Linked DNA regions of Sus scrofa. The protein of the gene in region 1 purifies or fractionates together with the protein of each later gene. This does not show direct contact. Links are inferred from orthologs where the notes say so. Each region holds a gene or a part of one and is shown in the gene's direction. Other genes may lie near its edges.

What was found. The genes of interacting proteins can lie anywhere in the genome.
Region 2: the proteins of FXR1 (region 1) and TDRD3 purify together in Homo sapiens (affinity purification with mass spectrometry; 3 studies listed by BioGRID and IntAct, with this or other methods). This does not show direct contact. The link is inferred for Sus scrofa from reciprocal best matches to the Homo sapiens genes FXR1 and TDRD3.

Annotation. Positions count from the first base shown.
Region 1 is NC_010455.5:118,890,756-118,895,692, forward strand, and holds part of FXR1 (fragile X mental retardation syndrome-related protein 1), read left to right. Parts: intron 1-78; coding exon 79-282; intron 283-2,449; coding exon 2,450-2,650; intron 2,651-3,394; coding exon 3,395-3,475; intron 3,476-4,937. UniProt on the Homo sapiens protein: mRNA-binding protein that acts as a regulator of mRNAs translation and/or stability, and which is required for various processes, such as neurogenesis, muscle development and spermatogenesis.
Region 2 is NC_010453.5:33,255,394-33,261,028, forward strand, and holds the start of TDRD3 (tudor domain-containing protein 3), read left to right. Parts: upstream 1-2,228; 5' UTR 2,229-3,055; coding exon 3,056-3,096; intron 3,097-5,635. UniProt on the Homo sapiens protein: Scaffolding protein that specifically recognizes and binds dimethylarginine-containing proteins. Plays a role in the regulation of translation of target mRNAs by binding Arg/Gly-rich motifs (GAR) in dimethylarginine-containing proteins.

The DNA of each region.
Region 1 (4,937 bases):
TTGCAGAAAATAATTTTGAAAAATTTCACTCCTTTTTTAATAGAAATCTAATTGGCTTGTGTTTTCTTCTTTCCCAAGGTACAAACTCTGAGCTGTCTAACCCATCTGAAACTGAATCTGAGCGTAAAGATGAGCTAAGTGATTGGTCGTTGGCAGGAGAAGATGATCGAGAGAGCCGGCATCAGCGTGACAGCAGGAGACGCCCAGGAGGAAGAGGCAGAAGCGTTTCAGGGGGTCGAGGTCGTGGTGGACCACGTGGTGGCAAATCTTCCATCAGTTCTGGTAGTCTTTTATATACTATGTCAGCATCCTTTCTTTGTAAACAGTGTAATTTTATGCAAGTTATTTATTCATTTTTCAGGGCCACCCATTTTTGCAAGTTTCTCTTTTTAAACTGAGGAAAATAGAAGAACAATTATATACATAGCAAAATAAGGAAAAGCCCTATTAAGTGTTTCTCAGTGAAGGTTTAGCTAGAGTATTCAGGTCAGAGCAACTTGTTGGCTCATTTCTCTGTTTTATTGGTCAGATGTTTTATCCATTCAGTTTTTCGGGGCTTAGGTAAATTAGAACATTTTTTTTTTTAATCCCCCTAGCATTTTTCAGGTTACGTATTTCTGTTACCCAGACAAACCCAGGGATTCTAATGCGCAGAGAGATCTAAATGCCTTTATATACTTAATACTGAAAATTAACTGAAATGCATTCTTGGCTACACTATGTAACACTTTGGGAATAGGGAAAAATTGTGAAATCAACACCTTTAAAAAATTTTTATTGTTTGAGGAATTGACCTGTAAAGAGGAGTGTTTTAGAAGACTGAGATTTGAGGTGTATAAGCAACTTTTTATTCCTGTCTTTTTGAAAATTTCATATGCTGTAACTTAGTGGAGTTGTAGGAGTTAGTTGCCAGAATGTTGTTGCTTTAGCATAATGGGCTGGGGAAAAATCGTCAGGGAGATATGGACCTAGAGTATATCAGGGATATAACCTTAACATATTGCTGTATGGAATTTTTAAGAAAACCATTCTTAATGTTACATGCCCTGTGACAATTTATATAGTATTTTAAATATTACAGAACACACATGTACATATAATTACATACATACCAGACATGCTTACAAATAAAAAGAAAATAGAGTTCCTGTTGTGGTTCAGCAGAAATGAATCCGACTAGTATCCATGAGGATGCAGGTTTGATCCCTGGCCTTGCTCATTGGGTCAGGGATCTGGCATTGCCGTGCGCTGTGGTGTAGGTCACACATGTGGCTCAGATCCTGCATTGCTGTGGCTGTGGTGTAGGCCGGCGGCTGTAGCTCTGGCTTGACCCCTAGCCTGGGAATCTCCATGTGCTGTGTGTGAAGTCCTAAAAAGACAGAAAAAAAAAGGCAACTGGATCAAATCATACTGCTTACGGACTTTGAAAAAGATATTCTGTAGTAGATCTGGTAGTATGCTTTGGCCCTAAGCTCAGTTTACAGGGTTTCAGGGAATTTTTTTTTTTTCCCAAGTACATTGCTCACCATTATCAAGGTTTATAAAATTATAGTATGCTGAATTACAACATATATGTACTTTACCTAGTGTTTCTGATTAATGGATAAACTTAGTGTCTTTTGCAAAGATGCTAGCTTGCTAGCTGTTACCAAAGGAAACTTAGAAAGAAAAAATCGTGATTAGGTGAATTTCTTCTATAATTTGGTGGAGGCAATAAATGCACATAGGTAAGATGGGTATTTTTTCCTTATGAATTATATCTTAAAACCTTTCCTTTCCTTCCCTCACCCCACCTCACCCCACTTTCACTCTTTGTTTCTGGAGATGGGAGTCCTAGTCAACATTCATTTCCATGTTTGCCTATAACCAGTTAGAATTTTAAACTTTTTAGTGTGCTTTTTTGTGTAGACTTGTTTTGCTTGCTTTAGTTTGTAGTAATAGACTTCTATTATGTCATGGAGTAGGGGTGTTGAGTCTTATTTGGAAATAATTCATTAACATTGGCACAGAGAAGTAGCAGCCACTTTGAATTCAGTTATGGAGACTAAAAGCTCTTTCTTGGAATTAATTCATATTAGTTGAATTTTGTTTTCCTTTTTATTTCTCTAGCCTCTGGACAAGGTTAGCTAGGAATGTGAATGTAAAATAGCATGTAATAATATATTGTTTCCTAATATGTTTTCAAAACAAGTCAAAGATAAGTGGTAGAAAAGCCAAGGTGTCCACTCATCTTCTACTTTAATTTTTCATAGCCATTTAAAGTTTTTTCATATTTGTTATTTTTCAGGTAAAATAGTAATACAGAAAACATTTTATCTGAAGACAGTATATTTTTATTGGGGGGAAATTGAAGTTTCTTTATCATTAACATAGTTCAATGTAGATCAAAACATTCCGAATAACTGCAGCTCTCTTAAACAAATATTTCTTGCCTCTGACATGCATATAGTGCTCAAAGATCCAGACAGCAATCCATACAGCTTACTTGATAATACAGAATCAGATCAGACTGCAGACACTGATGCCAGCGAATCTCATCACAGTACTAACCGTCGTAGGCGGTCTCGTAGACGAAGGACTGATGAAGATGCTGTTCTGATGGATGGGATGACTGAATCTGATACAGCTTCTGTTAATGAAAATGGGCTAGGTATGTAAGCACTTAGGGAAAAGATATATATTATTGTATAATATTGAAAATGTATGATGCTTTTTTCAAAAAGAAATTCCCAGACATATGCAATTCACAAATTGAATTTTTCTTAGTGTTTACTTCAAATGAGGTAGATGGCTTTGTGTCTCTTTTTACATGTCTAGTTCTCAGATTTGTATAGCCAAATTATTTGAAACTGGGAGGGTTTATTAAAGTGCCCTTTTGATGCCATTAAAACAGTACAAATATTTCAACTGCAAGGCACTTAATACTCTTAATGTTCCTAAACCAAAATTGGGCTTTCAGCTTGCCTCATTAAATATCATTATAAATGATACTGATAAGAGGTGTGTGTACTGAATAGGTGTTAATTCAGCAAAATTCAGGCTAAAATGTTATTAACTTTGGTAAAAACTAAACTATTAAGAGAGGAAAACTTCATTCCTGAATGGTGATAATTTATATTACGTCTTAGAGATCATTTAATCAAGAATTAAACCCTCTTAATTTCCAGATTGATAATTTGATTTTTAATCTAGTAGGAATGTTTAAAATAACAAAAGCATTTTTCTAAGTGGGTAATATGTATTATCTTTCCTCTTTAATTAAAAGTTTGTCTCGCCCTTTCTTAAATCTTTGAAGGAAGAGAAAATTTGGGGGTTTTTTTGTTTTGTTTTGTTTTTGCTTTGTTTCTTGCTGTGTTCTTGTCAGTATAGTTCATGGTGAACTTTGCAATTACAGATGATAGTGAAAAAAAACCCCAGCGACGCAATCGTAGCCGCAGGCGTCGTTTCAGGGGTCAGGCAGAAGATAGACAGCCAGGTAACTTGAGTGGACCTGTTGACAACACCAGGTCACAAGCATGAAAAAAATGTCATGTGTCTGCTTTCTAAATATATTATACTTACATGTACACATGTGTGCATATACATTCAAGATGTGCATTGCATAAATTGTTTACTCAACTAATAAGACTACTATTCTTAAGAAAATGCATTCTTCCTTCACACCATAAATGTTTAGTAACCTGTCTAATTAAACTAATGTTGTGTCTCAATTTTTTACATGGAAATACTGTTGAGAAGACCATTATTTTGGCCACTTGGCAGATTCTGCACAATTGAGTTGGGGCCTGCCATCCCAGGGACTCTTTGTAGATTGTGATTGAGGTTGATTGGCAAATCTGGAAAGCTTTTGCATGGTGCCTGCTTATTATATCTGGATTCAGCACCTCATTTTTATGGGAGTTCTAATACCCACAGTTTAAAAAAGTATAAATGAGAAAAATACTTGAAAGTGTCTTTTTTCTAATAAGAGGAATGCATGTTACGTTTTCGTTTATTGTAGTGTAATGCCTTTTCCCTTACACCTACTAACTATTCAAATTAATAGTACTTACTTAGTTTTAGAATGTTAATTTAAGTAGATAAAATTTTTAGTAACTTAAAAGAAACTTGTTTGCTGTGTCTATACTATTTTGAACATAATTCCATTTCTTGTGTACAGAGAATTACATGTATATTCACAATGAAGAAATTGTGTGCACCAGAAATAAACCCCTTTTAAACTAATCAATTTTGCATTCTTTCCAAAGCAAATTCTTGTGTTTTCCCCAAATAAAGAATGTAAATTCCAGTATCTTCAGTATTTTAAGTTTAGTGGTTGTAGAGACATTTGAGAAAACTGGTTTTAAGGGTATTAGTTATCATTCTTGAAAAAAAAAAGCTCATGTTTTAAAGGTAGTTGTAAATTTAAAATGAATTAAATATTGTCAAAATAGGTTTCTAGGAAATGTTTCTTACTGTTTTCTCTCTCTTTAGTGTTAGAAATATCTGTTAGATAAAGAGATTGTATTTATTTTTTATTTTGAAGCTCTGGCATAGCAGTGAATGGTTTCTCGCCATATTTTCAAATTTAAGCTGTCAGTATGGGCTTGCTATTTATGCTGGATAAATTACAGCATAATTAACTAGGTGGATGGTGGTTCATTATGAAGTCAAAGGGTATGAAAGGACTAACATAAAGGAAATAGGGTTGAGAGATTTCTACATGGTATTAAAACTTGAGTAATTTGGAATTTTTAATAACTTGACCATTTGTGTTCTCTCTTGCAATTTATTCCTATTTTACTCTGTTCTTTGGAAGTACTGCTTTTCCCTTTCAGAATTCTTTGCCTCTCTCAGCCTGCTCCTCCCCAACCAAAACACACACACACGCACACACACACTCTCCCCACACACGTACATACGTACACACAAAACCGAAGATAGAATAGGTAGAACAA
Region 2 (5,635 bases), on another chromosome or scaffold:
TCACTGCACTGGCTCAGGTTGTGGCTGTGGCTCGGGTTCAATCCCTGGCCCAGGAATTTCCTTGTGCTGAGTGTGCACCCAAAATAAAATAGAACAGCCAAAAAACAACAAACAAATAAAAAGTCGTTTAAAAAACTTACATTGCCTATTTTGAACAGTCCAGGCCAGGTTGCTTGCAGAATATGCCACATTCTAGATTTATCTGCCCATTTCCGTGTGTTTTACTTGTTCCAATATCCCCTACATATCTCAGCCTTGGCACTACTGACATCTTGGATCAAGTGGCTTTCTTGTGCATTGCACAATGTCTAATAGCAACCTCCTCCTACAAGGCTGTGACAACCACAATGTCTCTACACATGCTAAACATGCTCAGAAGTTGGGGGTACAGGGTGAGCAGACCCCCCCCTGCCGCTGCCACCTGTTGGGAACTACTGTCTAGAAGCTTACTTAAGTTCAGGTTATACAATTTTGGCAAGAATATTTCTTAGATGATGCGTATTTCTGTAGGAACATAATATCAGATTGCCCCATTAATGACTCTTATTTAAGCTAGTCATTTTTTCAAGGTAAAGGTATGTTTTTCCCTTTTGTAATAAATAAGTTATGGTTTGATACTTTGAGACCAAATGAATATCCTGTAGTCCTTCATTATCTTACCCCGTGGCTTTTAGCATTCTCTTATGGACTTGTTCAAATCATTTGTAATTGAGTTGAAGAATGGTCATTTTCTCATTCTATTGTTCTACATTTATTTTAAAGTACACCTTTCAAAGAAAAGTTTTTAACCTTTATTAATAATATTATTATTACTTTTTATGGCCACAACTGCAGCATATGTAAGTTCCTGGGCTAGGGATCCAATAGGAGCTGCAGCTGAGGTCTATGCCACAACCATGGCGATAATGGATTGGAGCTGAATCTGCTACCGAGGCCACAGCTTACCACAATGCTGGATTCTTAACACACTGAATGGGGCAAGGAGAAAACCCGCATCCCTCTGGAGACTACATGGGCTCCTTAACCCGCTGAGCCACAATGCCTCTGGTTTTGTTTTATTTTCATGTTTACGGAGTATGTGAGTAAATATATCATAAATAGCGTGAAGATTGAACAGCTTATATCTCAAATTCCTGCATTTGGAATCATCAACCCATTTTTAAAATCACTTCCTAGAATAAGGGAATTTAGTGCTTTGTGGAACATTTTATTAAAGTTATTGTAAATACCATACAATGGTAAATTTTTCTTGTATACATTGCATGCGAGACCAAATGTATAAAGGCTTTGCATTTAACCAGTGAAGAATTCTGATGATTGGGACAACATATAACTTTCACAGTTAACATGTTACAGTAATCGCATAAAGTAGGTGGTTAAGAGAAGACTCTAACAACCAATAAAAATTATTAGCAATTCAATTTTGACTCATCTGTTTATCATCAAAACAATATCTTCCTGACTCCTGGATATTTTAGTTGTGCCTATAAATTGAAATAGACTTGTAGCATATGTATAGCTTAAACATTGTGTACTAAAGCAAAGTGTAGGCTGCAGTTATTTCTGATTCTAAAAGTGGTTGGAAATATGTTTCATTAAAATCAGTATCTAAGTAACGTGCTTGGACACACATTTCAACAGCATCAAAGCAAAGCATCGTGATTTTAAAACTATGTCTTTTAGGAGGCCCAACCAGAATACCCTAGTTGAAATAATAATAAAAAAAATGTATTAAGGAAATTTAGCTCCACCCAGGATAACTATTCTCTTCCTTCTGTAACTGACAATTTTCTCCCTGGTCCAAGAGCGGCTCTGCCCAGTTTCGCAGTCTCTGTTAGAAGTCCGTGTGGGTGATGAAACAAATGAGGCAGCCGTGGCTATGCGTCCAAGGTTTCAACAGCTTCCAGACGAGGGCCACAACTATTCGGAAAAACCCTTCTTTCCATCAGCCACAGCCCTAAAAGACCCCGGAGGGCGGAGCAAACGTTCAAGGCGCGTCTTCCGAGTCCACCGCCCCGTCTGCCTGTTCCTCCGATTGGCTGGCGTGGATCTTGATTACCCAATCACTTTGCAGCGTCTGCTGCGCCGCTCAGCGACGCTGCTGCGCATGCCCACTGGGGACCCGCTCCTACGTTTCGGTCCTCTGGAGAACCAGGGAAGGGCACCGGCAAGGGGCCCGGCAGAAACTAGGCCTGGCAGTGTGCATGCCAACGTCAGAGGGCCGCGCCGGGACGTGGCCCAGCCCAGTGGGAGAGCGGCAGGAAAAACAAGCACCGACACAACTGTCCTATTTCCCCATATCCCTTAAGTGCAGGTTTTCTCGAATTGACCCACTTACTTTCATTGTGGTGTGGGACCTGGACAGTCCGATTTGCCTGTGGGGAACCGAAAAAAATCCAATTATATTTGCATCCGGGGCAGATGGAAAAGTCGAGTGAAGTGGAGCGAATATTGATAAGAAAGTAAACTTTTCTTCTGTGTAGACTGAGCTGGAACACCCTTACAGTTTCACTGTACTAAACGTGGCCTTATTAGCGCCAAACTGGAAGCGCTTTCCCGCCATCGCCCGTGCGTCTCAGGTCTAGTGTTGTCCTGCCCTCTCGGAGGTGGCCGCCTGTCGGCGCTGGAAAGGCGGGCTCTCTACTGTACAAAGAACCGCCCCACTAGTCTCCGAGGTGTGCAACTCAGAAAAGTGACCCCGAACAAAAAGCAGCCGGCCTTCGGTGGAGGGGCCGCCCCATGCTCCGGGCCCGACAAAACTGGCCCAGACGTGCAGACCCCGGCCAGTCTTCTGCAGATCACCGCCTCCGGCGCGCTGCAGCTTCGCAGCCCAAGCCGGGCAGGCCTCCGCGGCCGCTCGGAAAACGCGGCCAGCGGAACCCGCACGCGGAAGCGCCCGGCGCACTGAGCATGCCCAGTTGCAGAGCCGACCAGAGGAGTTTTTTTCTTTTCTTTTCTTTCTTTTTTCTTTTTCTTTTTTTTTTTGGTCTCAAGTAGCAGACCTCCCCCCAACCCCCACCTGAGCCCCCCACCACCCCCGGCCTAAGCAGCTACCATGGCCGACGTCTCCAGCGCGGCGTTGTCCCAGGCGGGTTGGTAAGTGGCGAGTGCCGCCGGCCGCGGGCGCGGGCCGGGGCCCGAGGAGGGTTGGGGTTGGGGGCGGTGGGGTGCGTGTCGGGGTAGGCGGAGGCCGCCGCCCGCCCCCGGCCTCTCCGAGGGAACCTCCGGGACGGCTCCGCCCCCGGCGCCACGCGGAGCGAGCGAGTCCCCCAGCTCCCTTTGGGGCGGCGGCGGCGCGGCCTGGGCCCTGGGTGGCGGGAGACGGGCTGGGGAGAGGCCGGGGGCAGGCGGGCAGGGCGGCTGGGCTGGCGGCGGCGCAGGCCCGAGCCGAGCCTTCTGGTGGGACCCGCAGCGCCGTCTTGCCCCTCCGGGGGTGTTGCTCCGGCGGGACCTGGGGAGGCGAGGGCTGGAGAACCGAGTGCGGCGGAGAGGGACGAGCGCGGCCAGAGCCCGCCGACCCGCGGGAAGTTGAGGGCAGGGCAGAGCACAGCCCAAGCTGGTGGCGGGCCCCCTCTCGGTTCTCTTTATTCCAAAGTAAGGTACCGAACGCGGGGAAGCTGCCCTCCAGCTGCCCTCCGGAGCACACACACAACTTCTAAAGCTAAGAATGACCGCGTTGTCAACCCGTGTGGATGCTCCGTAGAACTTTTCTTGAAAGGATGGCGATATTCTGATTTAAAGATGTTTCATGTCAAGATTTTGGGACCTGAAACCAACTAAAAATTATGTGAAATTAAGCAGTTTCTGGAACTTCGGCCTTTAGGGTTTTAAACATCCAGTTTAATTTAGTAACGCTTTACCAGGCCTGCAGAGGCGCAGTCTGGGATGAGGAATGAGAAGGAGGTTGAAAAAGATTTGCCTCTGCTCTCTGGAAGTTCACTATCTTAGTGAAAAGAGGAGAGAGGGAGGCATTAAAACAACAAACACAAAAACAGGGGAAATTGTTCACAATTTCCAGAGAAGCAAAGGTGGTATGGAATTGGAGAGGAAGGAGAGTTAATTTCCTAGAGAAGTGGATTTTGAAAGATGGTGAGGAAAAGCTTTCTAGATCCAGAGTCGCTGGAGACTGAGGGACAGAAGTAGGAAAGTGCTTATGGTGTGCAGAACTGACATTAGATCCCTCTGGTGCCTGGAAATAGAAAGGTGTCCAATGAGGATTGAGACCTTAAAGTTTGAGGGCCAGATTATGGAGGTTTCAAGTGCCTAAAGGATGGATTTGATTTCGTGAGTAAAGTTAGAGTGCTACAGCTTTGTTTTGAAGAGGCTACTCCTGGCATTACAGGCACCTTACTTTACAGGCCTTGGAGATTGGGGCACCGAACTGTTAAAAAAAATGACTTAGCTGGAAAGTGATGGAGTTGAATGGTGAGCATAGTGGGCTGGTTCCCAATCTGGTGCTTTTAACCTTTGTTGTTCTTACGGTTTTTGTGTAGAGCACTATTAGCATAACAAACTGTGGAGTTGAAAACTCACCCTTTTAAGTTTTGTTTTTGTTTTTTGAACTGGAATTTCTGTATTCGGTTTTTTACCTCACAAGGTTGCCTTGAATAATCTTGAATCCCCTCTATTTGAGGTTTTTTTTTTTTTTCATTCTTTCCCATTGACCTTTAGTTCTTCAAACTAGTTGTGTGATTTCATTTATAGACAGTCTTTTACTGCTTTCTGGTATGATCCTATCTGTGTTAGAAAGGCTAACCTCATTATTTTGGTTCCAAACACATAGTAAATTGTTCTTCTTTGGATTCTGAGATCCTTAAGGGTGGGAAACTGTAACCTATGTTTTTGTATATCTGTAATGCCAGGGAGCAGCACTAAGTTGTAGATTCCTAGTAAAGTCTGATACAGTTGACCTTGGAGGCCATTCCCCTGCCAATCAGAATTCCCTAACCAGGGTCTCTACCCAATCATAGAGTTTTCCTGTCTTTGTTAGTTTGTTGTAAATCCCTACCAGTGTTATATTGTGACATTTACTACTTTGTTTTGCTACTTATCTGTTTATATGTTTCTTACACCAGACTGCAGCTTTTGTTTGGCAGGGACTCATAAAGTCAGGAGTAATCTATGGGGCTAGGAAGTCTATCTTTTTACAAACTTGGGAGTTTCATGTACTTTCTGATGAGTCTTGAACCAACTAGTCTTGTGAAGACAAAAGGATGACATAATCTTATGGGTGACTTGTATTAGAGCCCATATATGTGTGTGTATATATATTCATTTATATATATATTTTTTAATTCATTTATTTTTTTCTTTCTTTTATCGGCCTCACCTGCTGCATATGGAAGTTCCTGGGCTAGGAGTCGAATGGGAGTTACAGCTGCTGGCTTATGTCACAGCCACAGCAGGGTGGGATCCTAGCCACATCTGTGACCTACGCTTCCGCAGATCACAACCCACTGAGGGATCAAACCCACATCTTAAGGACACTATGTTGGGTTCTTAACCCTCTGAGCCAGAGTGGGGCACCAGAGCTCATACTGAAGTAGAGAATATTTATTATGTTAACGTAGAGAATCTCAAAGGTTTAGGTAGAGAAGAGCACTGGGAGGAGAATTTCTGACCCTAGAGCAGCTTC